Oryctolagus cuniculus: one gene and its partner. The protein of the gene in region 1 purifies or fractionates together with the protein of each later gene. This does not show direct contact. Links are inferred from orthologs where the notes say so. Each region holds a gene or a part of one and is shown in the gene's direction. Other genes may lie near its edges.

Region 1 (14,250 bases):
TCCCCCGGTGGTGGTGCCCCTGATGTGGCTCGTCAGGGTCGGAGCTGCCCGCGTCCTCGCGGCACCTTGTGGGCTGGAGCACGGTCGCGCAGCCTGCCGGAGAGAGTGCCAAGCCTCACCAGGGCTCAGAGTCCCGTCTGTGACATGAACACAGGGACTTCCGGCCTGGCTCCCCAGCCAGCCCATGCGGCATGCCCTCTTGCCGTGTCATTCTGACTTGCCTGCTCGAGCTGTCCTTGTGAAGGGGCTGCAGCGGCGGCGGTGCCCACCCGTGGCTTCCGCCCCTGAGCCAACCTCAGGACCAGCCACGGCACCCCAGCCCTCACCAGGGGGCCTGGCATCAGGGGAGTGCCCCACAGCCGTATGGCGGCTGGGGCGGAGGCCCTCCTGCACCTGGCGGTCAGCTCCGTTCCTGATGTCCGCATGCCGTCATGGTTTCCCTGTGTCTGGGCTGGGGGCCGGGGCGGGGTGGGGGCCCCGTGCTGTGCTGCAGCTTTGCAGGGCTGCACTGCGTGGTCCTCGCGTGCGTTCTCTCAAGGGGCAGCCCAGGGTGCCGTGGCGAGCCTCAGCAGTTGTGCCTGGTGTCTCCCGGAGGTTGGTCCCTGTTCCCGCTCGGTGCAACTCTTCCGCGGTAGAGCCGGCTCAGCGCTGTGTGCGGGTCCCCTCTCGCGGGCCCCAGGTCCTGTGCAATCTCCTGTAGCTGGCATTCTTATTAGCGGTTTCTGGGAGAGGGGGAGTTGCCGCCGGCCCAGTGTCCTCACAGAGGGCAGAGGTGAAGGCCTCGGTGTGGCTGCCTCGCTCGCTTGCTCGCGCTCCAGTTGTGTCCACGTCGGAAAGGAAGCAGCTTGCAGGTGACATTCTGAGACCTGCTCTGCCCCCAGAGGGCCGAGATCAGGATTCTGAGTCCAGGGGCTGTGTGAGCCAGTGGGCCTTGGGCCGGGAGGAGCTGTGCAGACGTGAAGTGGGCGGGAAGCGAGGAGGGTCGGGGCGGGCGGTGGCTGCGGAGCGCAGAGCCGCCGCCCTCTGCTGAGCGGAGCTCCCACCTGAGGCCTGCCGTAGCTCTCCTCCCAGGGCCACCGTGCGTTTGCACGCCTGGGAACCTCCACCGCTGCCGCAGCAGCTTCCCATTTCTGGGCGACTCGTGGGGAGCAGCCAGGCCTCCGCCCGCTGCCCGCACCCAGGCTGGTGCTTCTGTCCCCGACCAAGGTTCCAAGTGCGATTTTGTGCTCGGCCCGTTGCTGCCCGTGGCAGGAGCTCAGTGCACAGGGTCGTCACCCCAGGGACGCCGACAGGCCGCCCAGAGGGCTGATACTCCGGGGGCAGCAGGCCGGCCCGCCAGTGAGGAAGTGCTTTTGCAGGTGGTCACTTGGTGGCTGTGACTGGGATATCCCCCCCCCCCCCCCCAGCCGGGCTGTTCTTCCTCTGGGAAGCCGTAATGAGGGACTCTGCCCCTGTGGGTTTGAGGCTCCCGGGGCGGCGGGGGGGGGGGGGGGGGCTGTGGAGGAGGCGGGAGCGGGCAGCGCTGGGCTGTGTGGGGGCCGCAGGGGCCGCCCCTCCTTGCAGTGACTTGCAGCAGAGGGAGCTGCCTGGGGACTCGTGGGGTTTGTCAGAAGCAGGAAGACTTGGGCTGAAGAGCACGGCTGGACCAGAGCACACACGCGTGCACCAGCGGGGCCCGCTTCCTTCCCGTGTCCGCGCACACACGGCGCATGCCCAGCCCTGTGCAGGCGGCCTCCTGCCCAGCACCACGCAGGCTGTGCTTGGGCGTGGAATGGGAGCGACGGCTTGCTCCCTGATGAGCACTTCCAGAGCTTTGCGAGTAAGTGGTTTTGTAAATTCTGTCTAGACCAGTTCTGCCTTTAAAACTAATAATAAACCAGCAGCAGTGTCCACACTGTTAGATTCGGGGGAACCCGTTTGCGCAGGTGCTTTGGGGCCGCAGCCCCGGGAGGGGGGTACTGCCCACTGCCTGGGGCGTTGGAAGGGTGGCCAGACGGGGAGTCATCGGGCCAGCACGGCGCGGAGCAGGCTCCAGGGCTGTGGATGGGCCCTTGGCTCAGCGTTGAGTGTGGGCTGGAGACCCCGTGCGGCCTGGGGAGAGCACAGAAGCAGCACCAGGGCCATCTGGAGGTGGCCCTGTGGTTTCGAGGAACGTTCTGGAAACTGTGCATTTCCTGCTGGGGAGGGTCAGAGTCTGATGCCACTGTCCCTTCAGGCTGGCGGGCGGGGCCTGTGCAGCCTTCTAGCTGGGTGGTCTTTCTCCTTGGGCCATCTGTTTCTTTACCTGGAAATGGGGGCGTGGGGGTGAGCACTGAGAGATGTGGGCTCCTGTGCAGCCCGCCGGGCCGGGGCAGGCTCAGGGCTCAGGCCTGAGGGAGCGTGGCACACCGCCAGCTGCAGGCCGGAGAGGGCCCTCCCCGAGGTGGAGACGGGGCTGGGAGCGGAGGGACCTCTCCGACTGCACGGCCGCGTGTCTCAGTTCCTCGTTTCTGCTCAGGGCTGGAAATCCCCCGCGGGCAGCGTTGCTCGGGCGCTGCAGGCGCAGCCCCGCTTCCCCAGGTGCGGCTTTGCCGAGGCCGCCTGGGCTGCAGGTGCCCTCACAGCCCCGCGGCAGTGCGACTCGGACGGCGGTCTGGGCTCCTGGGGGCGTGAGGGTGGCCACAAGGCAGAGCGGCCACGGCCTGTGACCCAGCTGTGGACTCTGCACCATGTGCCTGGCTCCCGGCTGCTCCCGCACGGGTGCGGCGGTGTCCTCTCCACCTATGGAGACGGGCAAGGGCTTTTGCCCATGTCCTCACCCTCGTGTGACAGACCTGGAACACCCCTCCTGCCTGCTGGCTGGTCTCGGCTGCCCGTGCACCTGCCCTCTCTGTGGCCGTAGCCATCCTGGGCTCCCGCTAAGGGAGAAGCTTGAGTCAGGCCGCGGGCCGAGCGCTCAGCCCTGCCTTCTGGCTCAGGCACGCAGGCCGTTTCTGTGCTGGGACTGGCGGGCGGCAGACCCGCAGCCTGCGGGAGGCCCGGCGAGGAGCTCCGGGGGGCTCAGCAGATGGAGGGGCCGTGTCCTTTGGAGCAGAGGTTAGGCCAGCACGGCCCCCTCCCCGCACTGGTGGCAGATGGTGGAGCCACACGCCGCGGAGGGGCTGCCATCGGGTCTGTGCTCCCTCACCTGAGTGCCTGCCAGTCGTCTGGAGCCGAGACCTTCCGTCCGGTGTTAACAGATCAGGTGTGATTTGTCGTGTATATACATTTGTTATCTTCGGCAAATTTCAGACATCAAAGCAGAGAGGAGTCTGCTCCGCGTCCTGTTGGGTGGACAGCACGTGGAGCCAGTCCGCTCTGCTGCCGTCCCATCCCCGGGAGAGGGGCAGCGCTCCTGGGCCCCGGGCTCCCTGTGGGCGCTCCCCTGTGTGGGTCCGGCCCCGCTTCCTTCGCGTGTCGGCTGTGAGACGTGCTGGCCACACCTGTGCAGGAAGCCTCAGGTCTCCTGGGGCGTCCGCGCCTGCGCTTGGGTCTCGGTGGCGCGGGCACGGGAGAGCCTCGAGCGCCCGGCATGCATGCCGCACGTCCGGCTGGCCACCCTCACCTAGATAGCAGGTCACCTCTCCCTGCTAGTTCCGCCCGCCTTGACCCTCCAGCCCAAGACCAGGCGTCCCCACTCGTGTCTGTGAGACCCCAGAGACACGGGCTGGCCGGTGTGTCCTTTCCTGTCGGCCCCGAGTGCTCTCCAGGCCAGGATCCCGTGTGACAGTCCACAGCACCCCTGGGACTGCTGCCCGAGAGCCCTCGGGGTGGGCACCTCAGGGCCCCCTCCCACTCCAGGCCAACATGGTGGTGGTGGTGATCGGGACGGCCCCTTGGTGGAACTGGGCCGGCACCGGCTTCTCTGCTTCGAGGAAAGCAGTGATGTGCATCTGCTCGGGGAGCCCTGACAAACCTAAGAGGCCGCAGTCCCTGCCAACTCCTCCCTTCTCCGAAAGCCACTTGGCAGAGGGTGGGGAGGTGTTTGGCCTGGGAATGAATCCCCAGGAAGAAGCTGCGGGCCCCCAGCGCCCTGTGTGCCGTGGGCGGTGTCGGCAGAGCCGCCTTAGGCTGCCTCGGGGGCAGCGCCTGTGCTGGCATTCGGATCAGGCACATTTCTCCACGGCTCCGGGAGCGACCGAGACCTGGGGCGCGGCAGCAGCGAAGGCTGGTGGGAGACAGAGTGTGTGGGAGCCAGCCCGCGCCCCCCGTGTCTGTCCCCTCTCGGCCTTGCCCTGGTGGTCCGTCCTGGCCGCCAGAGCCCCTGTCAGCCACAGGCTCCCTTCACTGACGGTGGGAGGCCACTGGAGGGGTATGGTGTGGTAGGCGAGGCAGGTTTCCCGTGGCCAGCTCGCCTCTTGCTCCTCAGGGCCCCGCACGGCTGGGTGCTCGGTGTCCCCTGGGACAGAGTGGCCGTGTTGGGCTCTGCAGGGCTGTTGGATCAGGGACCTTCCATGTCCTGCCCGCCTTCGTGGGGGGCCGGCACTGCATTGCTGGGGGTGGGGGCCTGACTGCTCTGGAATGTTCCGCTGGTGTTCAGGGGCACGCACCCCTCTCTACCTGACCTGGCTTTGTAGGTGGAACCCCAGGAGCCTGGCCTCCTCCCCAGCGGGTAGAGAGATCTGCAGAGGGACACGGAGGACATGGCCCGAGGCCCCAGACCTTCACCCCTCGTCCCTGCTGCCCACGCAGCTGCAGGAGGCTCTTAGGCCGGCTGCTGGCTCGGCGGTGAGCTCCAAGGGGCCGCTCGTGCCAGAGCCGGGGGTGGCCCAGGTGTTCCACCTCCTCCCTCCCATCTGGCAGCAGGACGGCGTCTGCCCGAGGACAAGGACACTCTGTGCCTGCCGCTGGGCTCGCTGGGCCTGGGCAGCGTCCCACTCTCCGGGGACTGCTGGTTCAGGAGGACGTAGGGGCCCATGGCGCTAAATATACCAGGCTGAGGTCAGTGGGGTGGAGACGAGGCCATGTGGCAAGCCCAGGAGCCCTGCAGGGACCAGCCACCCCCACCCCCGCCCCTGCCCCCTGCAGGTAAGCACAGGGTGGGCTGTTTCCTACCCACTCTCCCCTCAGGCTGGGCTCTGGCCGTGAACCATGCACTGCGAGGTTGGCCCATTGGCAGGCGGGCAGCAGAGTTGGGGGTGTGGGGGCCGTAGTCACTGTTCTGTGGTCACTCTGGAACTTTAAGCTGGGGGAGGAAGGCGATGGCTGTCGAGATGGGCCTGCAGGTGAGAGGAGCCAGGATGCGCGGGCCGCCAGGGAAGTCCACCCCAGTCCCTCGTCCTGGGCACGTGGCGGCCCGCGCTGGCTTCAGGAGGGTGACACCTGGTGATAGCTAGCAGGAAGTCGGGGACCCCAGAGCCTGCCAGCACTTGGAGCAGGAAGAGGGTCCTGAGAACCCCCTGCCGGCAGGCGCCCTGATCCTCGCCCAGTGAGGCCGCACGCTGCGGAGCCTGGTCGCGCGGTGCGGGTGTGCGCCGGTTAAGGCTCTAATTGGTGAGCAGCAGGAAAGCAGTGCCACAGTCCTGCCTGTCCCGCTCTTGCCCTTGGGCAGTGCACGGGGCCTAGACCACCCCACGATTCCCAGTGGCCCAAAGTCGTGCCTCACACAGGCATCCATCGAAGCCTTGTTTGTGGTGGCAAGTGGGGACGCGCTGTGTCTCCCGACATGAAATAGCATCCCTGCCGCTGGGGGGCGCCACTGAGCCCAGCCAGGGCTGCTTGACCTGAACTTGTGGAGTCAAGCGAGAAAGCAGGGCGCAGAGCCAAGGTGCTTTGGTGGCATTTTGTTTTATTTTTTTAAAGTTAATTTATTTGAAAGGCAGACACACACAGCCACCCACGAGTTCACTCCCCGAGTGGCTGCAGGGCCCCAGCACTAGGGCCGTCCTCCTCTGCTTTCCCGGGCCATAGCAGGGAGCTGGATCAGAAGTGGAGCAGCCGGGACGCGAACCAGCACTCACATGGGCTACACGGCGCCCCCTGTAGGAGTGCTCGATGTGTTCTGGTGCAGACCCGGCAATTGTGCCTTACACGATGTTTTCTAAGAAGCCCAAGTTCTGCTTCCAGCCGGCGCCCACGTGGTCCGTGCTCTTCCCACGCCCACTGCCACGGGGGCTCCCAGAGGTGCCTGTGTGTCCTGACTGCCGAGAAACAGCCTCTGTCCCCCGAGAAGCAGCGCGAGCTTGCCCATTCAGGCCTGGGTCCACGCGGCTGGGGTGGGATTTGGCGCCTGCTGTTTGAGAGCCTGGGGTCTGCCTATCGGCTGACCTGTGTGTCCCGCCCACCTTTGGCGGACGCGAGTGCTGTTGCACTAACCCCCGACCCTCTCTGCCTGGGGCGGGCACTGTGTGCCAGATGGCCTGTGTGCGGCACCTGCACTGTGTGGTCGCGGCCGCTGGCTGCCTGTCACCATCGGTGATGCCCGGAGAGTGCTGGGGACCGGGCGTGGCCACGGCAAGGTCATGGAGGGGCACTGCACCTGCCAGATAAAGCCCTACGGCGCCGCAGCCGCGTGCCCCGGAGCCTCCTGGTACCCGCAGATAGCATTTCTGCCAGCTGGGCTGCGGGTCACCCTCCCGGTTGGCTTCCAGAGCTGCCAGGGGCGCTGCCTGCCTGTCGCCCAGGCTCCTTGTTGGCCTCACTGCTGCCCAGGTGTTCACTGTCCCAGACAGGCGTCACCCTCCACGTGGTGGCGTTCTGCACGCGCACGCTCTGGTGTCTGGGGCCTTAAGTAAGTCAAGTTGCCCGGTGCGTTCTGGTCAGGCAGTGTGAAGCTTTGTGCATTTTATTGGGCAAGTCCTTCGCTCCTGCCCCCATCGCGTGACAGAACAGAGCTCACCTCCAGGACAGGAGCTGGGCATGTCGGGAGGGGCGGCAGGGGCGAGGGCTGCCGCGGACGAGGGGACAAGGGCAGGGCCTGAGCGCTGGTTCTTGTCCCACAGATCCGGAACATGGTGGCGGTGTTGGAAGTCATCTCCAGCCTGGAGAAATACCCCATTACCAAAGAGGCACTGGAGGTGAGTGGGCCCTGCAGGAACGCGGGCGGGAGGGCCCCTGGGGTGTGCGCCACCCACAGCCCCCAGCCTGCTGGTCAGCGCCTCCGACAGTCGCCAGGGAGCTCTCCTGTCCCAGAGCACCGGGAATTCCCGTGGGTTTTCGTCTGCAGAGCTGGCAGACTGGGCCAGTGGGGGAGGGGCGGGTCCTGGCCCCCAGGCGCGTCCCGTCCCCATCACTGTGGCTGCTGTCTCTGCAGGAAACGCGGCTCGGGAAGCTCATCAACGACGTGCGCAAGAAGACCACCAACGAGGAGCTCGCCAAGCGCGCCAAGAAGCTGCTGCGGAGCTGGCAGAAGCTCATCGAGCCCGCGCACCAGAATGAGGCGGCGCTGCGCGGGCTGGCGGGGGCCGCGGGCTCGGCCAACGGGGGCGCGCACCACTGCCGGCCGGAGGCGGGGCCGCCCGGCACGCCCAAGAGCATCCAGGAGCTGAAGAGCCGCAACGACATCCAGCGGCTGCCCGGGCAGCGGCCGGACAGACTGGGCGGCCAGAAGCGCCGGGGGGACCAGCGCGACCTCGGCCACCCCGGGCCGCCCGCCAAGGTCTCCAAAGCCAGCCACGAGCCCCTGCTCCCCAATTCGTCCCCCCTCCCCACCAACGGGATCAGCGGGAGCCCAGAGAGCTTCCCTGGGCCCCCCGACGGTGGCGGCGGTGGCGGTGGCGGCGGCGGGGGGCACGGCCCTGAGAGCGGCCGTGTGGAGCCCACCGAGAATGACACGCACAGCGGCAAGATCCCTGTCCACGCGGTGCGGCCGCACACCAGCTCCCCGGGCCTGGGCCAGCCCCCCGGGCCCTGCCTGCAGACTAAGGCAGCGGTGCTGCAGCAGCTGGACAGGGTGGACGAGACCCCCGGGCCCCCCCACCCCAGGGGGCCCGCGCGCTGCTCCTTCAGCCCCCGGAACTCACGGCACGAGGGCTCCTTTGCCCGGCAGCGGAGCCCGTATGCACCCAAGGGCTCCGTGTCCAGCCCCTCGCCGCGGCTCCAGCCGCTCGACGCCACCCAGGTGCCCTCACCTCTCCCGCTGGCCCAGCCGTCCACGCCCCCCGTGCGGCGGCTGGAGCTGCTGCCCAGTGCCGAGAGCCCGGTGCGCTGGCTGGAGCAGCCCGAGGGCCGCCATCGACTGGCGGCGCCGGGCTGCAAGGCAGGGCTGCCCCCGGCCGGCTTCTCCCCAGACTCCTCCAGGGTGGACAGCGACGCTGCCGCCGCCGGGGGCTCGGACAGCAAAAAGAAGAAAAGGTACCGGCCACGCGACTACACGGTGAACTTGGACGGGCAGGTGGCCGAGGCGGGCGTGAGGCCCGTGCGGTTAAAAGAGCGGAAGCTCACCTTTGACCCCATGACGAGACAGATCAAACCTCTGACCCAGAAAGAGCCAGTGCGGGCGGACAGCCCTGCGCGCACGGAGCAACCGCCCAGGACAGAGCCGGACGCGCCCGAGGCCAAGGCCAGCCTCCAGAGCCCCTTTGAGCAGACGAACTGGAAGGAGCTGTCGGGCAACGAGATCATCCAGTCGTACCTGAGCCGGCAGAGCAGCCTGCTGCTGTCCTCCGGCACGCAGACGCCGGGCGCCCACCACTTCATGTCCAAGTACCTGAAGCAGGAGCAGAGCCGGCTCGGGGCCCGGCGGCCGCACGTGCTGCTGCCGCACAGCCCGCCCGCCGAGCTGCCGGGGCTGAGCCGGGAGCTCACGCAGGACGATCTCGACAGAATCCAGGCCGGCCAGTGGCCGGGGGTGAACGGGTGTCGGGACACACAGGGTAACTGGTATGACTGGACGCAGTGCATATCGCTCGACCCGCACGGCGACGACGGGCGCTTGAACGTTCTGCCTTACGTCTGCCTGGACTGAGCGCCCGCGGCCGCCGGGCGCACTCCCACCTCGCGGCGGGCGGGAGCGGGGGTGGGGGGCAGGAGCCACGCGGGCTTCCGCCCCTTCCCCCCTCCCGGGACTCTCCTCCTTTTGTGAAATGCTGCTACCAGTTTACTAACAAAATTGCGAAGGGAGGGCGGCGCGCACGGACGGCAAAGCGAGTTCGGAACTTGAGCGAACGCGTCAGTCCCCACCCGGGCACCCAGGCAGGCAGGCAGGCAGGCAGGCGGGCGCAGGGCTCCGCGCTGGGGGGAGCAGCAGGAGCACGCGTCTCGGCCCCGCACTCGCTCTTCTGGGGTCTGGGAGCCGGGGGGAGGGGCCGCGGGCGGGCCACGTGGACGACCAGTCTAGCCCACACTCCACGAGCATCCACCCATTTCGATCTGGTTTCGGTTCAAAATCCCCAGTTTTTCAAAGAAATGCTGCAAAAAATTTCAGTTCTCTCGCGTTTATTTTCCATGTGACCACCAGCCAAAACCCGCCCTCCCCGTCCCTGCCCCTCCCCCACACGCCTGGGGAGTTCACCTTCCTAGAGTCCCCCCCAGAACAACACAGATGTCGCCGCGGGTGCTACTGGGGTGCGCGCCGTGCCGCCGGGCGAGGAGCCGTCTGCGCTGACACTCATAACCATTCCTTTAGATTCGTTTGCCTTATGGTTACTCGTCATAAACGCGATTTGCAAAAACAAGGAGCCTTAGTGAATGTACAGAACCCAGACTTCTGCGTCCTCACGCAGAAGGGAGCAACTTTGCTATTTGGTCCAGTAAGTGGACACCTTGTGATATAAATGTGGAAATAAAAAACCCATTTGCACAAACTCGTCTGAGAATCGTTTCCTACTTGGGCCTTCGGACAGCCACACAGCGCCTGCCTGGATTCTGGACGAGCCGGGAGGGCCCGGGCCCCACAGCCCGACGGCAGGCTGGGCTGCGGCCACCTGCCAGCTCTGGAGAGACCCCACAGGCGCCACGTCTGCAGCTCCGGGTTCCAGTGGCCTCGGCCCCTCCCCCCTGCCCGCACCACCACCACCAAATATTTGTTGTTCTAAGAGGCCCAGCCCTTTGGCCTTAGTACCCTGATCACTGAAACAGCTGTCCTGCCTCCATTATAAAGGGGTAATAAGACCACCCCGATGGGCCATCCTGTCCCTGTCTCCCCCACGTCCCGCAGCCGCCCAGAGCCAGCAGGGACTTGGACACACACTGCCCTGTCCAAAACAAGGGTGCAGTGGGGTCGAGTGGCTTTGAGGGCAGGGTGAGGCTGAGCCCTGCACCTGCCAGCCGTGGGCTCGCTCTGGCTCACTCCCTGGAGGTGCGAGAACCAAATGATCCAAGTCCTCTCAAAAACCAGCAAGCCCGTTGGTGGGTGGGCTGCGACTCCCGGCCGCGCTGCGGAGTAGGGTCACTGCTCTCACTCCGTGCACAGTGGGCTCACCCTGGCCAGCTCCGGTGGCCGGCAGGTGCTACCTGCGACACAGGTCGGAGCGCAGGGTCCGTCTCCTTCCCGCAGACCAGGGCTCTGGGACAGGCCGCTGCTTTCCCTTCTCCCCCACCCCGCCCCCGACACACCTGGCGGGACCACCACCCCCGGCTCGGCTCCGAGGACCCAGGAAGCCGCAGGACCCCTGCCTTTGAAATGCAAGCACAGGGTAAGACAAGACCCTGTCCTACGAGCGTGCCCAGTAAGGGGACGCAAGTGAGAAGCGCGTGATTTTTGGAAGAAACGCTGGCACCACCCCCTCTCGCACAGCGCTGGAACCCCCGGGGCCAGGTCGCTTCCCGGTCTGCACTGCCGCCTGTCCGAATACATAGGGACGCCGGCACCTACCGCACAGCGCTCCTGGCATTCGGCGGGACGCGCTGCGGGGCGATAATCTAGCTCAAAGGTCTTTCTCCATAATCCAGCTTGTTTTCCTCCAAAGGTCTTTTCCCTTTGCCCCCGGGGTCCGCCGCGGCCAGCCCATCAGGAACAGGGCTGGGGACAACCATGACCCGCCGAGTGGCGGCCGGCGAGCTCCATCATCCTCACTCACAGGTGACGGCGACGCGGCTGGGTCCTCGCGTTCCCGCTCGACCACCTCGCTCGGGCTCCAGCCCCTGCTCCCCGCAAGCAAACCCAGGCCAGCGCAGGTCCAACTCCTAAGCAGGCCGGCACCCCCACTTCCTTCCGCTTCCGGGACTCGCCCCGCCCCTTCCGGTAGCGCATCCCAATAGCAAGGCGGGGCCTGCACCCGAGACGTGGTGGCTGGCGCGTCCGTCGGCGCGTCCCAGTGACGCAGAGAGCCGGCGGCCAATGGGAGCGGCGCTGGCCGGCGCGCCCGGCCCCGCCTCCGCCCGGCGTCGGGCCGTCGGACGGGCGGGAAGGGGCGGCCGCTCGGGCAGGATGGCGGCGGCGTCGGGCGCGGGCCCCGGCGCGGGCTCGGGGGGCCCGGGCGCGGCGGGCGGCGGCGGCGGCGGCGGCGGGGCGCGCGAGGGCGCGCGCGTGGCGGCGCTGTGCTTGCTGTGGTACGCGCTGAGCGCGGGCGGCAACGTGGTCAACAAGGTGATCCTGAGCGCTTTCCCGTTCCCGGTGACCGTGTCGCTGTGCCACATCCTGGCGCTGTGCGCGGGGCTGCCGCCGCTGCTGCGCGCCTGGCGCGTGCCTCCCGCGCCGCCCGTCTCGGGCCCCGGGCCCGGGCCGCAGCTGCCGCCGCGATTCTACCCGCGCTACGTGCTGCCGCTGGCCTTCGGCAAGTACTTCGCGTCGGTGTCGGCGCACGTCAGCATCTGGAAGGTGCCCGTGTCCTACGCGCACACAGGTGACCGGGGCAGGGGGCGGGGCGGGGGCGACCACCGCGGTCGGGGCGTGCAGGGAGCCGCCCCCACCTGCCCCCGGCTGGGTGGGTGCTTGGGGGCTCGGGCTGAGGGCCCCTCCGCTCTGTCTCCGCAGTCAAGGCCACCATGCCCATCTGGGTGGTCCTGCTGTCGCGGGTCATCATGAAGGAGAAGCAGAGCACCAAGGTGAGGGGCGGGCAGGTGGGGGCCGCTCGGGAGGGACCCAGATGGTGACGTGGTCGGGGCCACGCCGGCTTCCTGTCAAACAAGGAAGTCGGTGCGCCGGGGCCTCCCGCGGCCCTCTTATGGCTTCTCTGCTGGCGGCAGGGGGGCGTGGGGAGGGGCCTGTGGCCCTGGGTGGTCCCTCTGCAGCCGGGCAATGTCTTGCTGTTCTGATTCGCTGCCAACGTAGCTGGCGGCCTGGTCCCCTCCTGATGGGACGCCCCAAGCAGGTGCCCCCCCCATCCCCGGTGGGACCCGAGGCACGGCGGGGTGGTCAGCGAGCTGCCAGGCTGGCCGCGTTTGATGCCTGCAGGGTCTTCGGGCCCCGTGGGTGGCCGGGGTCGGGCCAAGGAGCCGAGGTGCACCTGAGCAGGTGGCTTCTGGCACAGCCCCTGAGTCTGTGGCCGTGGCTGCCGCCGGCGCCAGCCCTGCCCACCCGCTGCCCGCCGTCCTCAAGTGCACGTGGGGTCCCTGGCCCTGTGCCTCTTTCGCAAAATCATCCCAGCAAGAGCTGCGTGTGCTCCCGCTGGGCTCCAGGGTGACACCAGGTGTGACTGGGGGGGGGGGGCAGTGTGCCGCGGCGGCATCACCCAACACCGCGTCACATTTATCGGGTTTCCCACTGCGTGGGGCACCGTACCCCAGCTTGGGCACAGAGCCGGGAACCTCACACGGAGCCGGGCAGCTACTGATCATGTTGTCATAACTCACCTGTGAGGTAGACGGGGGTGTGGCCTCCGTCCTGAGCTGGCGTTTGGTGTCCCAGGCCCTGGCCTTGGTGGGTGCCCCCCACCCCGAGGTGGGCCCCGGGACAGAGGCAGAGGTCCCTGTGCATCCTGCAAGTGCCCCACGCTTTCTGCAAGGCCCCCTGTCAGTCATCCAGCCAGCACTGTTGAACACCTACTGTATACCCTGCCACCAGCTATTGAGTGCCTGCTGTGTAGCCTAAAGTCGTGCGTGGGGTCACGGGCGTGGAGTGACCTAGCAGGCAGTGAACAGTGGGTGGGTGGGTGGGCGGCGCTCTGGGGGGACGCCTGGGCCGAGCAGGGTGGGGGTGCTGGGTCCCAGGAGGTGCCTATGAATGCTGAGCGGCTGAGGTGCCCCGCCAGGGGTAGCTATACGTTGGGAGAGCCCCAAACGCCCCGGACAGAGACATCTGTTAGGTTAGGGCCCAGCAGGAGGCAGAGGCTCTCGATGGGGGTGGGGCTGCGCCCTGGGACACAAGCCCGCTCCCCAGGTTCCCCTGAGAGCCAACAGCTCCTGCCCAGCCGTGTCCTCCGGGCTCAGCAGCGCCCACCCGCCCCCTGCAGGTGTACTTGTCACTCATCCCCATCATCAGTGGCGTCCTGCTGGCCACCGTCACCGAGCTGTCCTTTGACGTGTGGGGGCTCGTCAGCGCCCTCGCCGCCACGCTCTGCTTCTCGCTTCAGAACATCTTCTCCAAAAAGGTATCCGGGATTCCCGGGGGGCTGCCCGGCGGAGGGGGTGCCGGAGACCCGGGCAAGTAGATATGGCGTCCTGTCTGTCTGCTCTTGAGTGCCGTGTCCTCCCGTCCCGAAGCGAGCATAGGCTCGACGTGGGAAGCAGGGGAGTCTCCACGCGGACTCAGACGCTGTGTCGAGCACCGCTTGGTGTCGGGCTCTGACCTGCGGCTGCCCCGGCAGTGCCCACCCGGGAGACCCGGTGCAGGGCTGGGCGTCGCGGCACAGCGGGTGGAGCCACGCACGGCTGGGACCCTGGTGTCCCATGTCAGAGCACCGGCTCCCGCCCCCTGCTCTCACGCACCCTGGGAGGCAGCAGCAAAGGCCCGAGTGCTTGGGTCCCTGCACCCACCCGGGAGACCCGGATGGAGCTCCAGGCCCTGGCCAGGCTGGAGCCAGGAGCCTGGAGCTCAGTTTGGGTCTCCTGTGGGGAGGAGGTGGAGCCCCGGCCACTTAGCACCACCCACTGCTGCCTCCTCTTCCCGGTCCCGCCTTCGCACACGGGCTTGGGCTCGCCGCTCACGCAAGGGTGTCGGGGGGCCGTGGCCGTGGCCGTGGCTCTAGGCGGCCTTGTCCCTCCCCAGGTGCTGAGGGATTCGCGAATCCACCACCTGCGCCTGTTGAACATCCTGGGCTGCCACGCGGTCTTCTTCATGATCCCCACCTGGGTCCTGGTGGACCTCTCTGCTTTCCTGGTCAGCAGCGACCTGGTGAGTGGCCGGCGCGCCGGGGAGGGGCCCTGAAGGGGAGGGGCTGTGCCTGGCCCGGAGGTCCTCTGTCCTCGCTGCCA
Region 2 (15,697 bases), on another chromosome or scaffold:
AAGCTTATAAAAAAAAATAAGACGGCTATAAATTTTTCTCATTATTTGTTTGAAAAGGCACTGTGTAAGCCACTTGTAGCACCAAAACTTTCTTACTCGAGTTCTTTGTGAGAACAGCTTGAGGAATGGTGGTCTACGTCATCAAACGCATGTAAAGTTTGTCTGTAAACTGACCCAGAAATAAAACTGCCAGTGCTGAGTGGTTTTATATCTAAAAACTTGAAGCTGTCATTCTGTTGGCTAGAATATGTTGCGAAAGATTTCTCAACAGGCCCTTTAAAAAAAATATTTAACTTATTTGAGAAGAAGAGAGACAGAGAAATGCCTTCCATGCAGTGTTCACTCCCCAGATGGCTGCAACAGCTGGAGCTGCGCAGATCCGGAGCCAGGAGCCAGGAGCTTCCTCTGGATCTCCCACACGGGTGCAGGGGCCCAAGCACTTGGGCCATCTTCTACTGCTTTCCCAGGCCATAGCAGAGAGCTGGATCAGAAGAGGAGCAGCCGGGACAGGAACCGGCGCCCATATGGGATGCCAGAGCTGTAGGTGGAGGCTTAGCCTGCTGCGCCACAGCACTGGGGCCCCCAGCAAGGTTCGTGACTAAAGCAACTGCTATGCCTGGGCTAACAGGCTGAAAGGGAAGGAGGAGTTGGCACTGAAGCGATGGGATATCCTGAAGCAGCCGTCCAGGCACTTACTGCTGGGCAAAAAGAGACTGAGCCCCAGGTGTGTTTCCAGGAGGGCAACCATGCAGAAAGAAAAAGTCTGCAGCATGTATAACAGGGGCACGAAAAAAAATGCATCTGACAGTGAAACTGGAAGTGACGCTGGTGAGGCAAAGGCAAGAAGAGTACCCAAGAAAGCTGTGCTGTCTCACAGGGAGATACGGACGTCAGGAGGAGACGGGGACTGCTCAGGCACCAGCTGCAGAGGAAGCGGCGGATGGACTGCGTGACAGCCTATCGTGGCCGCACACCTGAGTCCATCAATGACCTGGACAGAGACCAAAACTACAAGTAAGAGAAGCAGCTGTGAGACCGAATGAACACGTAAGAGTCAGGTATGGGGTGAAATGAACAAGACAAAAATTCAAATGACCCGTGAGATCCTGCAACTGTCCTAAAAATCAATAAATAAAATTAAAAATAAAGTGTGGGCCTGGGGGCCGGTTAAGCCTCTGCCTACAGCACCAGCATCCCATACAGCCTGGGGTTCGAGCCCCGGCTGCTCCTTTTCCGATCCAGCTCTCTGCTAATGGCCTGGGAAAGCAGTGGAACATGGTCCAAGTCCTTGGGCCCCTGTGCCCACATGGGAGACCTGGAAGAAGCTCCTGGCTTCAGATCGGCTCAGCTCTAGCCGTTGTGGTCATTTGGGGAGTGAACCAGTGGATGGAAGACCTTTCTCTTTGTAATCCTACCTCTCAAATAAATAAATAAAATCTTAAGAAAAAAAAAAAAACCAAACAAACAACAATTCTGTGGCGAGCCTGTGCTGCTGCGCTGCCCGTCTCATGTTCTGGATTACGCCGCCGGACAGTCGATGTTTGTTGGATGAAATAGTGAAAGAGAAGAGGCAGGGACACAGGAGGAAGAGAGAGACTTCCAAGTATTTCCAGGCCCAGGGAAGTTGGTGCATGCAGCCCCGAGGACCAAAGGGTACCAGTTACTGGGTGACGGCTCAGCTCAGCTGAAGAGCAGTGTTTACCTTGGGAGCTGAGGGGACACTGCGCCTGCTCCCCGTGAGTGACTCCTGCCTTGCGTTCAGCCAGAAGGCCTTATGAGGGCTACAGCGTGTTAGGAACTCAGGCACGGACGAGCGGGCTGCACTGCAGTGGTGCCTGTCAGCCTCAACAGCTAGGAGTCTGTACAGCACCACAAGTGGGTTGTCAGCCACGAGGTCCCCAAACGAAGGGAGAACTAGAGGACAGATGCCTCCCTGGCCTGTTTTACCAGTGAACCAGAACTGAATCGCAAGTGCAAGTGCATCTCTCCTCCTGCTCTCTGCCCGAAACACAGCGCCTGTGCTAATGAAAGTAAACGTGGGGGCCAGGGCTGTGGGGTAGCTGGTAAAGCCGCCGCCTGTGACGCGGGCATGCCCTATGGGTGCCGTTTGAGTCCCAGCTGCTCCACTTCCGATCCAGCTTCCTGCTGATGTGCCTGAAAAGGCAGCAGAGGATGGCCCAGGTGCTCGGGCTCTGAACCCAGAGACCCAGAGGAAGCTCCTGGCTCCTGGCTTCAGACCGGCCCAGCTCTGGCTGTGGCGGCCATCTGGGGAGTGAACCAGCCCATGGAGGATCTCTCTCTGTTTCTCTCTCTGTGTCTGTAACTCTGCCTTTCAAATAAGTAAATATTAAAATAAAAAAAAAAAAGTAAGTGTGGAGGAAGAGACCAGATACATACACAATTTTCTTTTGAAATCCCAGGGGTGTCATAGAACCAGTGGGCATCTTTCACGTCCTGTGGAGTCAATTCCACTCGCTTGGTGGATTTGTCTGGAGTCAGCACAGGTTCATTTTCCATGTCAAAGGCCAGTGAATCCGCATCAAACTCAAAGGCAGCTTCACCCTTCTGCTCCTTTGAATACAAGAATGTTCTTCCAACTCTTCCTAGAACACATTATACCGAGGTCATCAGTCAGTCCGTCAAAGCTTTTGACTCCAGACAACTTACGAAGGCTAACTTAGGTGTACAGAAGTGAGACAAGGTCTCTTTGATTTGTAGGAACAAATTAAAAGCAAACTTACTAATTCTATTTGGAAAACAGACCGAGAAATCATCTTCCTGCTGATTCACTTCCTAAATGAACTCAACAGCCGGGCCAGATGGAAGCGCAGCAGCCAAGCCGGGAACTCAGGCTGGGTCTCCCAGGAGGGTGGCAGGGACCCAAATACCCAGGACATCACCTGCTGCCTCCCGGGAAGCCGGAGCGCGAGCTTGCACACAGGAGTTGAACAGAGGCATTCTGATAGGGGACATGGCCGTCGTAACTACTGCATGAAACGCCTGTCCCCAGGGCAGCCGCTGCACGGAGTCACCAACATTTACCACGAGTATCGGTCTGGGGTTCCAGATGGAGGCAGCCTTGCCTTTAAAGAGACCAAGCAAGGCAGCCTCTCCCCGCAACAAGCGGCTGGCCCCAGGCCCCTGAATTTCGGGGAGAATTCCGGCATGGGACCAACAAGGGCTTTCCCCACAGGACGCTTACCCACTACGTATCCACGTCTTTTCAGGAGCCGGAGCCGATTCTGTTCCTGCTCACTGAGCTCCTCTTCAGCTTTGGCCGCGTCCTCTTTAAGTCTTTTTTGTCTTTCAAACATTCTGTAGGGAGTTGGGTTGCAGATGGGGAACTTGAGAAGGTTTAACGTAGTACCTGGAACACGGGGAAGGGAATAAGGGGAAGGAATGAGCGCTTCTGAGGATACGCGCTGTTGTGGGGTACGCTGCTTTCTCTCACGCAACCTCCACGCTAGCCCCCTAGAAATAGTCCCACTTCACGGAGGAGTCGTAAATAAGCCGATTGGCTCGCAAGCTTAACCAGGACTTGAATCCAAAATCCGTGTGCATGTCTGATTGCTGTTTTCAACATCACCAGGTAAAAAGCAACTGCGGAGAATTCAACTCCAGCGCAAGGCAGAAGACCAGCTCACTAAGCAAGGGTGAAGTCTGGCTTCAAGGGGACACAGGGCTGTCGCAGTGCGCTCTCCCAAGTCCAGCACAAACAGGGTCACAGACACAGGGACCCATTTTCCAAGCACGCAAGTTTCTTACCAAGTCACCACCCGCCCTTTCTTCCCCACGCACGCTCTGCACTACGGGTTATTCACGTGTTGTGCGTGGAGCACCCGCTGGCCTCACGCCGGGAGTCAAAGCCAGAGGACCCTACGAAGAAGCCAGCTCCAGGGACACGGCCAGAGCGCAGGGGCTTCGGCTCTGTTCCGGCCAGGGAGGCGCGAGACCCCCGCAGGGCTGCAAGGTTCCAGGGAAGGCGCCCGGCGGCGGGCACGGTGCGCCCGCTTCTCGCACTCACCCGGCCACGGCGAGATGGTGGCCTTGTCGATGGCCTCGGCGCCCTTGGCGGTGCAGTAGTCGGACTCCAGCAGCGTGTTGAACAGCGTGGACTTGCCGGCGTTGGTGGCGCCCACCAGGTAGACGTCGCCGCGGTAGCGCCAGGCGCGCTGCAGCGCCGAGATCAGCTCCTCCACCCCATAGCCGGTCTTGGCGCTGACCAGCCGCACGTCCCTGACCACCGTGCGGGACGCGCTCTGCTCCTCGTCCCCGCCGGCGCCGGGCTGCGGCCCTCGGTGGCCCGGCGCCGGCAGCAGCCCGGCGCGCACGCACTCGTCCCACAGCCGCTGGCGGAGCCGCCGCCGGTAGTCAGGCGCGTCCTGCGGCAGCAGGTCCACCTTGTTCCCCAGCACGATCAGCTGCTTGGGGCCCACCAGCGCGGGGAGGTGGCGCAGCAGCGGGTCGGGCAGGTCCAGCAGGTCCAGCAGGTAGAGCACCAGCGCGGGCCCGGGCCGCCGCAGCGCCGCGCTCACCTGCTGCAGGTACTGCGCGCGGCTCACGCGCAGCCGCAGGGCGCGCCGGTGGTGCACCAGCAGCCAGCAGCGCTGGCACACGGCGCGCGCCAGCTGGCCGTCCTGCGCGGCGCGGGCGAACTTCTCGCTGGGCAGGTAGCCGGGCACGCCGGGGTCCCGGCAGTGGAGCTCCGCCCCGCAGCCCGAGCAGGGCAGGCCGCTGGGCGGCACCGCCGGGTCCGGGCGGCCCGCGGCCGGGGGCGCGCGGAGGCTGGCCCGCGCCTGCCGCCGCTCCGCCCGGCGCCGCGCCTGCTCCTCCTGCTCCTGCTCCCGCTCCCGCAGCGCCCGCAGCAGCTCCTCAGGCGTCGGCGGGGGCTCCGGCTCCGGGGTGTACTCGGGGAACAGGAAACGCTCCTCGGTGTCGTCCCCGGGCGCGGCGGGGCCTTGAGGGAGCGCCCGCCGCAGGCCCGACGGGGGCTGGGAGGCGGCGGCGGCCGCGCATCCCGTCCGCAGCAGCCGCACCGCAGGCGCGGACCACCGCACCACGGGGCCCAGCAGCCTCCCCGCTAGGCGTGCGGGCAGCATGGGGATCGCGGCCCGCCGCGAGGGGGCGGAGCCACCACCGAGCACGCGCAGTGGGGCCCCAGGCGCCCGTTCTGCCCCAAACCCCGGAGGTGCGGCTTCCTTCCACCTCGAGATCCCGCGAGTTATCGCGATGAAAGCGTAGCGGGAAAGCCGCGGTATCAGCCTCCCTTGAGGGCACAGGTTCGAGTCCCGGCTGCTGCACTTGCAACCCGGCTCTCTGCTGGGGCCTCGGGAAGGCAGCAGAAGATGGCCCAAGTCCTTGAGGCCCCTGCACCCACGTCGGGGACCGGGAGGAAGTTCCTGGCTTCAGCTCCGCGGTTGTTGCGGCCACCTGGGGGAGTGAACTAGCGGTCGGAGGACCTCTCTGCCTCGTTGTAAATCTGCCTCTCAAATAAATAAATAAATCTTTCTTCAAGCTTTCTCAAGGCGCTACGGCCAGCACAAGTCGCACTTAATCCCTTTTAGTTTTGTGGCTTCCTGGTCTTTGGAGTGCAAACAATACAGCCTTAAACCTGCGAGCTCACGCCACGGCCAGAACCGCTAACAAATTCACTTGGATTTTTTTCAGGCGGGGTTTGTTCAACGTGAAGCAGCTGTAGAGCCGCCCCTCCGCCTCGGACTGGTCGCGCCCCGGCTCAGCCGCGCCCGAGCGACCCCGAGCCCAGCCCGCCCTATGCTTCAACTGGCGCAGGCGCAGATCCCACCTCGGCGACGGTGGGGCGGGCCTTCGGGGACGCAGAGAATTGTGGGAACACCGGAACCGGAAGTTGCTTCGTCTCTGCCTGCGGCCCTGTGGCGGCTGCTACGCGGTTTTCTGTCTCAGTGGTTTTTCTTTTTGAGGGTTAGGATCTCCTGGACCGTTTGCCAACATGTACGACGCGGACGAGGGTAGGTGACCATGCAACGCAGACTCCGCGGCGGGAAAATGGGGGAGCTGGACGGCTTTGCGTCCGCCGCCCGGAGACCCCCGCGGTGTACCCCCGCCACCCCCGGGCCGCGGTCCGAGCTGGGCGTGCGGGAAGTGGCGGCGCGGGGGATGCGCGCGTGCAGGCTCCTGGCCGGCTGTGTTCGTCCCGTGGTGGAGTGGCGTGCGGAACCGTAGGCAGATGGCGTTGTTCCGGCTCGGGGGCGTCCCGACGGTCCTCGGGTCCCCGGGCCACCGATGGACGGAGTGGCGCTGGCCATCCGTTAGGTTGTGTGCTGGGCCCTGGGAGCACGGCGGCCGCGGGTGGCCCTCCTCCGTGCAGTCCTAAACCTCGGGGAATTGTCTCGAAGGTGTCCTTGGAACTGACTGCGCCCCAGAGGGACGCGCGGCCGCCAGAGAGGTGTTCTGGCTCCCAGTCCCGTAGCCCCCCTGGCATCCCACCCGCTCGCCTCCGCTGCCTCTCGGAGGAAGCAGAAGCGCAGGCTTAGCGTCTCAGCGCCGGGGCTCATCGGACCCACCAGCTGTCCGGTTTGAACCGCGTCCACGCAGGTAGCTGCTGGTACAGATTCTCCTGCTCCAAGGTTTCTTTACGTACGTGTGAGTGAGCGTAAATGGGATTGTGTGGTTCCCCGATTTTCAGACAAAAAGCACCATTCGTGCTCTCCTGTATTTCTATTTCTTACATAGTATTATGTAGTGGGCTTTCCTGCCAGTGTGTGGAGTCCATCGTCACTGCTCGCTTGTTTAGATGTAGTGCGACTCAGCCAGTCTCTTAGGGATGGGCATTTGCATCATTCTCGTCTTTTCCTGGGAGGGCAGTGGAGGACGGCCCAGTGCCTGGGCTCCTGCATCCGCGCGGGAGACCCGTAAGAGGCTCCTGGCCCCGGGCCTGCCCAGCTCCGGCTGCTGCAGCCATTGGGGGAGTGAACCAGCGGATGGAAGCCCTTTCTCTTTCTGGAACTGCCTTTTAAGTAAATAAAAAATATTAAAAAAAAAATCGCTAAATAGAGAATTGTCAGGTCAAACGGTATATTCATTTAACATTTTGCAGGATGGTGCCAAGTGACCACTGTGCTATTAACTGCGAATTTACATTCTCATTAGCAACGTATAAAGTACCTGTGGAAGAGAAGAGTGGTCCATGTTCCATTCCTGCCTGTTCTGAAGTCTGTTAGATACGCCCTCATCAATTAGGCTGCTCCTTTCGGATGTTGCCATGTGAAAGTGTCAGATCTCTCTTGGCACCTGCAAAGAAGTTAAACTCTGCTCAGTTGTTTCTTTCCTGGGAATATCTGACCTTTCTCCTTCCATGGGCGACCGGGGTTCTCAGAAGAGTTTGTGGCCTCTCAGGTTTTCAGCACATTCTAATCTGATCTCAGTGCTGCTTCATTAAGATGCCCTTCCCACTGATACAGCCGGTAGCACTGTGTAAGCCTCAGGCAGGCCCTGCGGTATTTAGCATCATGGGTGAGTTCCTTTTGGCAGCCCATCTCCTCAGCCTTAGCACCGTCACTTGATTCTTACACCTATCAGACTTTGTCCCTTCTCATTCACTCCTGCTGTTCGCGTTTTCCGTGGCTTCAGTTACTGTGTATGTGGATGACGTCTCAATACATACGCACACATTCCCAGCTCAGATGTCCTGCGTCTCTAACTGAAGTGTCTCTGGGCTTCTGTAAATTGTCACTGCCCAGGCTGAGCTCACCATGTTTTTTATGCACCCCCGCTCCCATCATCATCTGCACTTCCAAAGCCATCGGCTTCTGGGTTGTCTGTCTTAGAGCATGGTACCACCCTTCTCTTTTGTGGGAACCAGAAACCTGGGCGTCATGTATTTTTATTTAAAAGTATTTTGATTAACACATAATATTTGTACATTGTGTGCAGTGCCAAGCAGTGTTTCAACACATATATGTAGTGTAAACTGATAGTCAAGCAGTTAGCATTTCCATGTCCTTATGCTTAGAACCTATCAGATCCTCTGTCCTGTTTATTTAATTTTTTTTTTTTTTTTAACAGGCAGAGTGGACCGTGAGAGAGACAGAGAGAAAGGTCTACCTTTTGCCGATGGTTCACCCTCCAATGGCTGCCGCGGCTGGCGCGCTGCGGCCGGCGCACCGCGCTGATCCAATGGCAGGAGCCAGGTGCTTCTCCTGGTCTCCCATGGGGTGCAGGGCCCAAGGACTTGGGCCATCCTCCACTGCACTCCCTGGCCACAGCAGAGAGCTGGTCTGGAGGAGGGGCAACTGGGACAGAATCCGGCGCCCCGACCAGGACTAGAACCCGGTGTGCCGGCGCCGCAAGGCGGAGGATTAGCCTAGTGAGCCACGGCGGCGCCGGCCCAGTGATAGACTTTCTACATGAGTGACATTAACTCAGTCAGTTGAGCCATCACTGCTGCCTTCCAGGATGTGCATTAGTAGGAAGCTGGAGTTAGGGGTCAGGGCCAGGGACTGAGCCCAGGTACTCTGATGTAGGATGCAGGTGTTCTAACCAGCATCTTACCCCAGGCCACACACCTGCCCCTCGTTGAGTTCTTTATGTAGTATACAATATATAATTTTTAAAAAAGATTTATTTATTCACTTGAAAGAGTTACACAGAGAGAGAAGGAGAGGCAGAGAGAGAGGTCTTCCATCCAATGGTTCACTCCCTAGATGGCTGCAATGGCTGGAGCTTCTTCTGAGTCTTCCAGGCAGGTGCAGGGGTCCAAGGACTTGGGCCATCTTCTACTGCTTTCCCAGGCCATAGCAGAGAGCTGGATTGGAAGTGGAGCAGCCGGGTCTCGAACCAGCGCCCATATAGGATGCCGGGACTGCAGGCGGTAGCTTTACCTGCTACGGCACAGCCCCAGCCCCTGATCTGTTTTGAGTGGTAGTCATGCTCTGAGCTGCAGAACATGAGAACCTGCTACTCTTAGCTGTGTCTTGGTGCCCCTCATACTTTCTCTACTCTTCCTAGCCTTACCTTCTTTGCCTGGTTTACTCCTGTTCACGTAACATGAGGTCTCTGCCCAGCTCAGCTTTTAGGCCCAGTGTTGGCCCTTGTGGTCATCTGAGGAGTGAAGATCTGTCTCTGTCTTCCTCTCTCTCTGTAACTCTGACTTTCAAATAAATGTTTTAAAAATTACTATATTTATGGATGCTGTGGACTGGGAATTTAGACACGGCCTGGTATGCAGGACTTGTCACCTCAGTGTGTGTGGTCTGGGGAGGATGAAGGCTGGGGACTGGAGGATCTGGAGTGTTTATTCACGTGTTTGGCACCTGGCCTGGGAGGACTCGAGGCCTGGGATTGCTATTAGAGCATCTGTAACATCTGTAAGTATCCGTTCCTTAAGGTTTGGGCTTTCTCACAGAGTTGCAGCCTGAGAGTGGTAGTAGGACTTTTTATTGGCAGCTCAGGGTTCCAGAAACAAGTGTTGTAGCAAACAGGGTGGAAGCTGTATTGCTTTTTCTTTTCTTTTCTTTTCTTTTTTTTTAAAGATTATTTATTTATTTTTACTTGAGAGAGTTACACAGAGAGAGGAGAGGCAGAGAGAGAGGTCTTCCATCCACTGGTTCACTCCCCAGTTGGCCGCAACAGCCGGAGCTGGGATGATCCGAAGCCAGGAGCCAGGAGCTTCTTCTGGGTCTCCCACGTGGGTACAGGGGCCCAAGCACTCGGGCCATCTTCTGCCGCTATCCCAGGCCATAGCAGAGAGCTGGATTGGAAGTGGAGCAGCCGGGACTAGAACCAGCGCCCATGTAGGATGCTAGCGCTTCAGGCCAGGGCGCTAACCTGCTGTACCACAGCACCGGCCCCTGTATTGCTTTTTCTGATCTAGCTTCTAAAATCATGCATCATCACTTCTTTTGGTCACAGGAGAGTAAAAAATCCACCCAGATTCAAGGGGTGCATGCACAGACCACTCTGTTGTGATAGTTGGCTTATCAAGATCACTTTGTAGATGAACATGTGGGATGGCAGATAAAGATGAGCCCTGCAGTCATGTCTGTCTGCATAACGATATGTTGCTATAACAGACCACTGTTTTAGGGTTTTGACCCGATGTTGGAAGCTTTTCTACCTCTACCCCATGACCCTGCTGTCTGACTCCAGTCCCCAAGGAGCTTGTTGATTGGAGGACTATGAGCTTGCTACTAGTTATCATCTTGATTAGCTATAAATGAAAACTTTATGGACTTTCTCGAGAAAATGGAAAACTTACAGAGCCACACAGTTTGCACTGAACCTTTATAATAAAACCTCTTTGTATGTTGGAAAAAAATATTTATGTGATATAGGCATTTTATTAATTTACTGAAATTTTAGAAAAGTGGGGTAAGAGAATTGCTTTTTATTCGTTAGAGAGTAGATTTGTTTCTGCTTTCAGTATAGGTGCAAGCTCTTCTGAATGGAATCTTACTGCACTTGAAGTCACTGTTTCTGTTTTTGCAGATATGCAATATGATGAGGATGATGATGAAATCACTCCAGATTTGTGGCAAGAAGCGTGCTGGATTGTCATCAGGTAACCTTTTAGACCAAAGGCACTGCAACAGATTAGGGGATTTCCTGCTTATTCTGATCTTGATAAATAGAAATTCCATATGAATATGCTGCATAAATCTTTTTTTAAGTTTTTTTTTTTTAATTGAAGGCGTGTTGGAGAGAGGGAGAGAGAGGGAGAGACAGCGAGAGAGAGAGAGAGAGAGAGAGATATCTTTCATTTGTTTGTCTACTTCCCAAATGCCTGTGATAGCAGGTGCTGGGCCAGGCTGAAACTAGGAGCCAGGAACTCCATCTGGGTCTCCCATGTGGGTAACAGCAGTGGCTGGAGCTGAGCTGATCTGAAGCCAAGAGCCAGGTCTCCCATGCAGGTGCAGGGGCCCAAGGACTTGGGCCATCTTCCACTGCTTTCCCAGGCCATAGCAGAGAGCTGGATCGGAAGAGGAGCAGCCAGGACTAGAACCAACACCCATATGGGATGCCAGCACTGCAGGCAGATTAACCGACTGTTCCACAGTTCCTGCCCCATGTAGGCTCCAGTTTGTGTTTTGGCTGCTAGACTTCCTATCTGGCATTCTTGCTAATGGCCTGGGAAATGCAGCAGAAGATGACTGGAGTGCCTGGGCCCCTGCTGCCCATGTGGGAGACCTGGATGAAGTTCATGGTCCTGGCTTTGGCCTGGCCCATCCTTGGCATTGCAGCCATTTTAGGGGTGAACCAGCAGATAGCAGATCTCTCTTTCCCTCTGCCACTCTCTGTCCCTGTCTGTCTCTTTCCCTCTGTGTAACTCTGACTTTGAAATAAATAAATAAATCTTTAAAAAACACATGCTTTTGACGTTCTGCCACACGTGTCTGGAGTATAATTGAATGCCTTTTTTTTTTTTTTTTTTTTAAGATTTATTTAATTTTTTGAAGGAGTTACATAGAGAGATCAACTGATCTTCCATCTGCTGGTTCACTCCCCAGATGGCTGCAACAGCCAATGCTGGGCCAGGCTGGCCAGGAGCCAGGAGCTTCTTCCGGATTTCCCTTGTGGATGCAGGGGCCCAAGCACCTGGGCCATCTTCTGCTGTTTCCCAAGCCATGAATAGGGAGCTGGATTGGAAGTGGAGCAGCCAGAACATGAACCAGCACCCATATGAGATGCTGTTGTTGCAGGTGGCCACTTTACCTGCTGTACCACAACACTGCCCCACTCCCTTTTAAAGATTTATGTATTTATTTGAAAGGCAGAATTAGACAAAAAGAGATCCTCTACCTGCTGGTTCACTTTGCAAATGCCTGCAACAGCCAGGAGCTGGGCCTTGCTGTAGCCAGGAGCCAGGAACTCCATCTGGGTGTCCGTGACGTGGTTGGTAGGGGCCCAAGTTATTGGGCCATCCTCCGCTGCCTTCCCAGGCACATTAGCAGGGAGCTGGATCAGAAGTGGAGCAGCCGGGATTCAGGCTGACAGTTTTTTGCTGGCATTGCGGGCAATGACTTAACCTACTATGCTACAACACTGGTCCCAAATGATTGTTTTTTTTTTTTCTCAGTGTATTTGAAAGAGTTACAGAGAGAGGGAGAGACAGAAATCTTCCATCTACTCCCCAAATGGCCACAATGCTTGGGGCTTGTCCAGGCTGAAGCCAGGAGCTTCATCCAGTATCCTGTGCAAGTGCAGGTGCCCAAGTACTTGGGTCATCTTCCTTTGCTTTCTAGACACATCAGTAGGGAGCTGGATTGAAAGTGGAACAGAATACCTGGGACTCAGACTGCTGCCCATGTGGGATGCTGGCATTGCAGATGGCAGGTCAGCTTGCTGTTCTACAATGCTGGTTCCCCAAATGATTTTTTTTTTTTTTTTTTTTTTTGACAGGCAGAGTGGACAGGGAGAGAGAGAGACAGAGAAAGGTCCTCCTTTTTGCCGTTGGTTCAGCCTCCAATGGCCACTGCGGCCAGCGCGCCGCGGTCCGGCGTATCGTGCCTATCCGAAGCCAGGAGCCAGGTGCTTCTTCTGGTCTCCCATGCGGGAGCAGAGCCCAAGTACTTGGGCCATCCTCCACTGCAGTCCCAGGCCATAGCAGAGAGCTGGCCTGGAAGAGGGGCAACCGGGACAGAATCCGGCGCCCTACCGGGACTAGAACCCGGTGTGCCGGCGCCGCAAGGTGGAGGATTAAGATTAGCCTATTGAGCCACGGCGCCGGCCATGATCTTTTTTTAAAAAAGTTATTTTATTTGTAAGATTGAAATGCACACACACATATACACGGAGAGACAGAGAGATCTTCCGACCACTGATTCATTCCCTAAATCCTTGCAATAGGTAGGGCTGGGCCATGCCAAAGCAAGGAGCCTGGAACTCAATTCCAAGTCTCCCACATGAGTAGTGAGGACTCATCTGCTGGACCCGTCTGCTGCCTCAGGGTGTGCATTAGCAGGAAGCTGAGTCAGAAGTGGAAGAGCTAAATTCAAACCGGGTGTGCCAATATGGGACACAGGCGTCCTAAGCAGTGACTGAACTGCTGTGCTGAAAGCCCATCCCTTATATCAAGTAATCTTCACATAGTTGTGTGAATGTGCTATTACTTAACATCACAAGTAACTGAGGTAAGATGATTCCTGGTTTCGGCACTGTGGCATAATGCATTAAGCCGCTGTCTGTAGTGCTGGCATTCCATGTTGGGCTCCAGTTTGAGTCCTGGCTGCTGTACTTCTGATCCAGCTCCCTGCTAGTGTGCCTGGGAAAGCAGCAGCAGATGGCCCAAGTGGATAGGATGCTGCACCCACATAGGAGATTCTGAGGAAGCTCCTGGCTCCTGGTTCCTGACTTTAGATCGGCCCAGCTCCGGTCATTGCAGCCATTTAGGGAGTGAACCAGCAGATGGAAGGTGGATCTCTCTGTCTGTAATTCTAACAAATAAATCTTTTTTAAAAAAGTAAGATGATTTCTGGTGAAATAAGCCTAATAGTAGATATCATAAATGTAAAAGTTATGTAGCTTAGATGTTTACAGATAGTATTCTATTGCAATGCTGTTTCAATGGTTTGGCAGAAAGTAGCTGTGGTTCAGCTTCTTGGGGTAATGAAACTTGTATATAAGTTCTGTGAAGATTTTTCATCTTAAGTTGTGTGTAAAAAACTCTTGCTGTTTATTTTACAGGCAGTGCCTTTCATGTGTTTATGTATCAATTCCTGACCCAAATGATCATGAAAATTTTATTTCTTGTTCACAATCCCTTCTGAAAGAAATTGCCACAGCCATTCTTTAGGCTTTATCTTACATAAGGATGGATATATGCTGTGTTCTTTACCATGGGACCTGACCTCTAATGTTGGTGGCCATATTTGAATGGATCAGAGTGGGCCCTGGTCCACAGCTAGACAATTTGTAGGCCTGCTGGTGACCTATGAGGTGACCTGGTAATGCCAAAAATTGGCTGTTGATTAGCTGGGCTGTGTAAATTGTCCCAGAATGTTGATGGTTGGGGGGGAAGGGTGTCAGCGGTTAATAGGGAGAGGGAAGTAGAAGCTAAGAAAGTCTCCTAGGTACAAGATGGCAGGGTCACAGTCTAGAGGAGCTGAGCCCTGGAGCTGTGGTGATGAGGCAGTTCCTACTGCTAGGGGTGATGAGATATTCCCGTCCTTAGGGTTGCGCTAGAGCTCACAGCTCTTCGAGCCCTGGGATGGCCAGCCGTGCAACTGTTCTGGCGGTAGTGGGGAGTGATCCGCTGAGAATCTTCTTGCGCTTCAATCTGTCTCCTTGCTCATTCCTCACCTGAACAACTGACCATGTCTTGTAGCAGTAAAGTCTGCTCTTGGATGATCCGTCCTTCTCTTAAGATGTGGCTTCTGTTGCCTCTGCACTGCCAGCTCTGATGACTTTCCTGGGCTCCACTTCTAGCACCAGTCATTTGAAGTGATGGACACTCATCTCACCTTCAGCATGCTCAAAATAAAGCTAAACTTAAAATTAACACTTTTTTTTTTTCAAAAAGGTTTACGTATTTGAAAAATTTACAGAGAGAGATACTGATCTTCCATCCACTGGTTCATTCCCCAGGTGGCTGCAGCAGCCAAAGTTGGGCCAGGCTGAAGCCAGGAGCTTTATCCAGGTCTCCAGTGTAGGTGGCTGGGGCCCAAGCAGTTGGGCTGTTGTTGCTTTCCCAGGCCATAACCATGGAGCTGGATTGAAAGTGGAGGAGCTGGGATGCAAGCTGGTACCATATAGGATGCTGATGTTGCAGGTGGTGGCCTAACATACTAACGCCATAATACTAGCTCCAATAATGTTCTGCATTTTCTATTTTAGTAATTGATATCACCATTTCATTCAGACTAGAGTTCTTGTTATCTTTAGCTATCCTTTTTCTTTAGATGTCTCCTGACATTTTTTCAAAAAAAGTTTCAAAGAGGTTGAAGAGGTTGAATGAAATTTGTCTATAAAGGATATTTGTAAATCAGGGCTTCCTTTTTATATAGTGCTTTAATTATTTTGCCTATAAGTTTTTTTTTTTAAACAATAAGTTCTATATAGAAAATATTCCCGACATTATACCGTTTTAAGTTATCTCATAGTTTCTTGTGTAATGATTGGTATATAGCGTTGGTTTCTTGAGTATTTTTTGAATTATAATAAAAATGGAGAGGGGGGGCTAGAGAAGAGTGGCAACTGATTATAAATTCTTATTTTTCTAGTTCCTATTTTGATGAGAAAGGTCTGGTCAGACAGCAACTGGATTCTTTTGATGAGTTCATTCAGATGTCTGTTCAAAGAATTGTGGAGGACGCTCCCCCCATAGATCTGCAAGCTGAAGCCCAGCATGCCAGCGGAGAAGTTGAAGAACCGGTAAGATGGTTTCTAACAGTGTTACACAGGTAAAAGGAAGACTGGTTTCAAATTTCAGTTCCCTTTCCTGGCTTAAAGCCTAAAACAAAGTCAGGAGGAGCATTTAGCAGTGCGCTTACAACATTTTCAGTATCACCTTCTGATTTATTCTTAATAGTGGAGAGATGCATTTTTGCAAGAAATCCAGAACTGAAATGCCAAATAGTGCGTATTTAACATAGGTTTGGGAAGAGGGGATGCAGAAGTGTGAAAAACTAACAGAAGCAAGCCAAAACAGGCATGGCCTTTCAGATAACTTTTGTCTTTCACAGTATAAGAATCATAGAAGAACAAGTGTTTGACTTTTATTCCT

The links.
Region 2: the proteins of MED26 (region 1) and POLR2B purify together in Homo sapiens (affinity purification with mass spectrometry; 3 studies listed by BioGRID and IntAct, with this or other methods). This does not show direct contact. The link is inferred for Oryctolagus cuniculus from reciprocal best matches to the Homo sapiens genes MED26 and POLR2B.

What each region holds. Positions count from the first base shown.
Region 1 is NC_091447.1:64,929,333-64,943,582, reverse strand, and holds MED26 (mediator of RNA polymerase II transcription subunit 26), read left to right. Parts: upstream 1-1,849; 5' UTR 1,850-4,539; coding exon 4,540-4,746; intron 4,747-6,959; coding exon 6,960-7,034; intron 7,035-7,270; coding exon 7,271-8,923; 3' UTR 8,924-9,761; downstream 9,762-14,250. Other genes in the region: SLC35E1 (solute carrier family 35 member E1), read left to right, coding at 11,327-11,741, 11,873-11,943, 13,290-13,427, 14,045-14,170. UniProt on the Homo sapiens protein: Component of the Mediator complex, a coactivator involved in the regulated transcription of nearly all RNA polymerase II-dependent genes.
Region 2 is NC_091439.1:107,677,645-107,693,341, reverse strand, and holds the start of POLR2B (DNA-directed RNA polymerase II subunit RPB2), read left to right. Parts: upstream 1-5,797; 5' UTR 5,798-5,968; coding exon 5,969-5,987; intron 5,988-6,374; exon of another isoform or gene 6,375-6,573; intron 6,574-10,464; coding exon 10,465-10,537; intron 10,538-15,194; coding exon 15,195-15,345; intron 15,346-15,697. Other genes in the region: NOA1 (nitric oxide-associated protein 1), read right to left, coding at 2,398-2,603, 3,203-3,367, 4,025-5,099. UniProt on the Homo sapiens protein: Catalytic core component of RNA polymerase II (Pol II), a DNA-dependent RNA polymerase which synthesizes mRNA precursors and many functional non-coding RNAs using the four ribonucleoside triphosphates as substrates.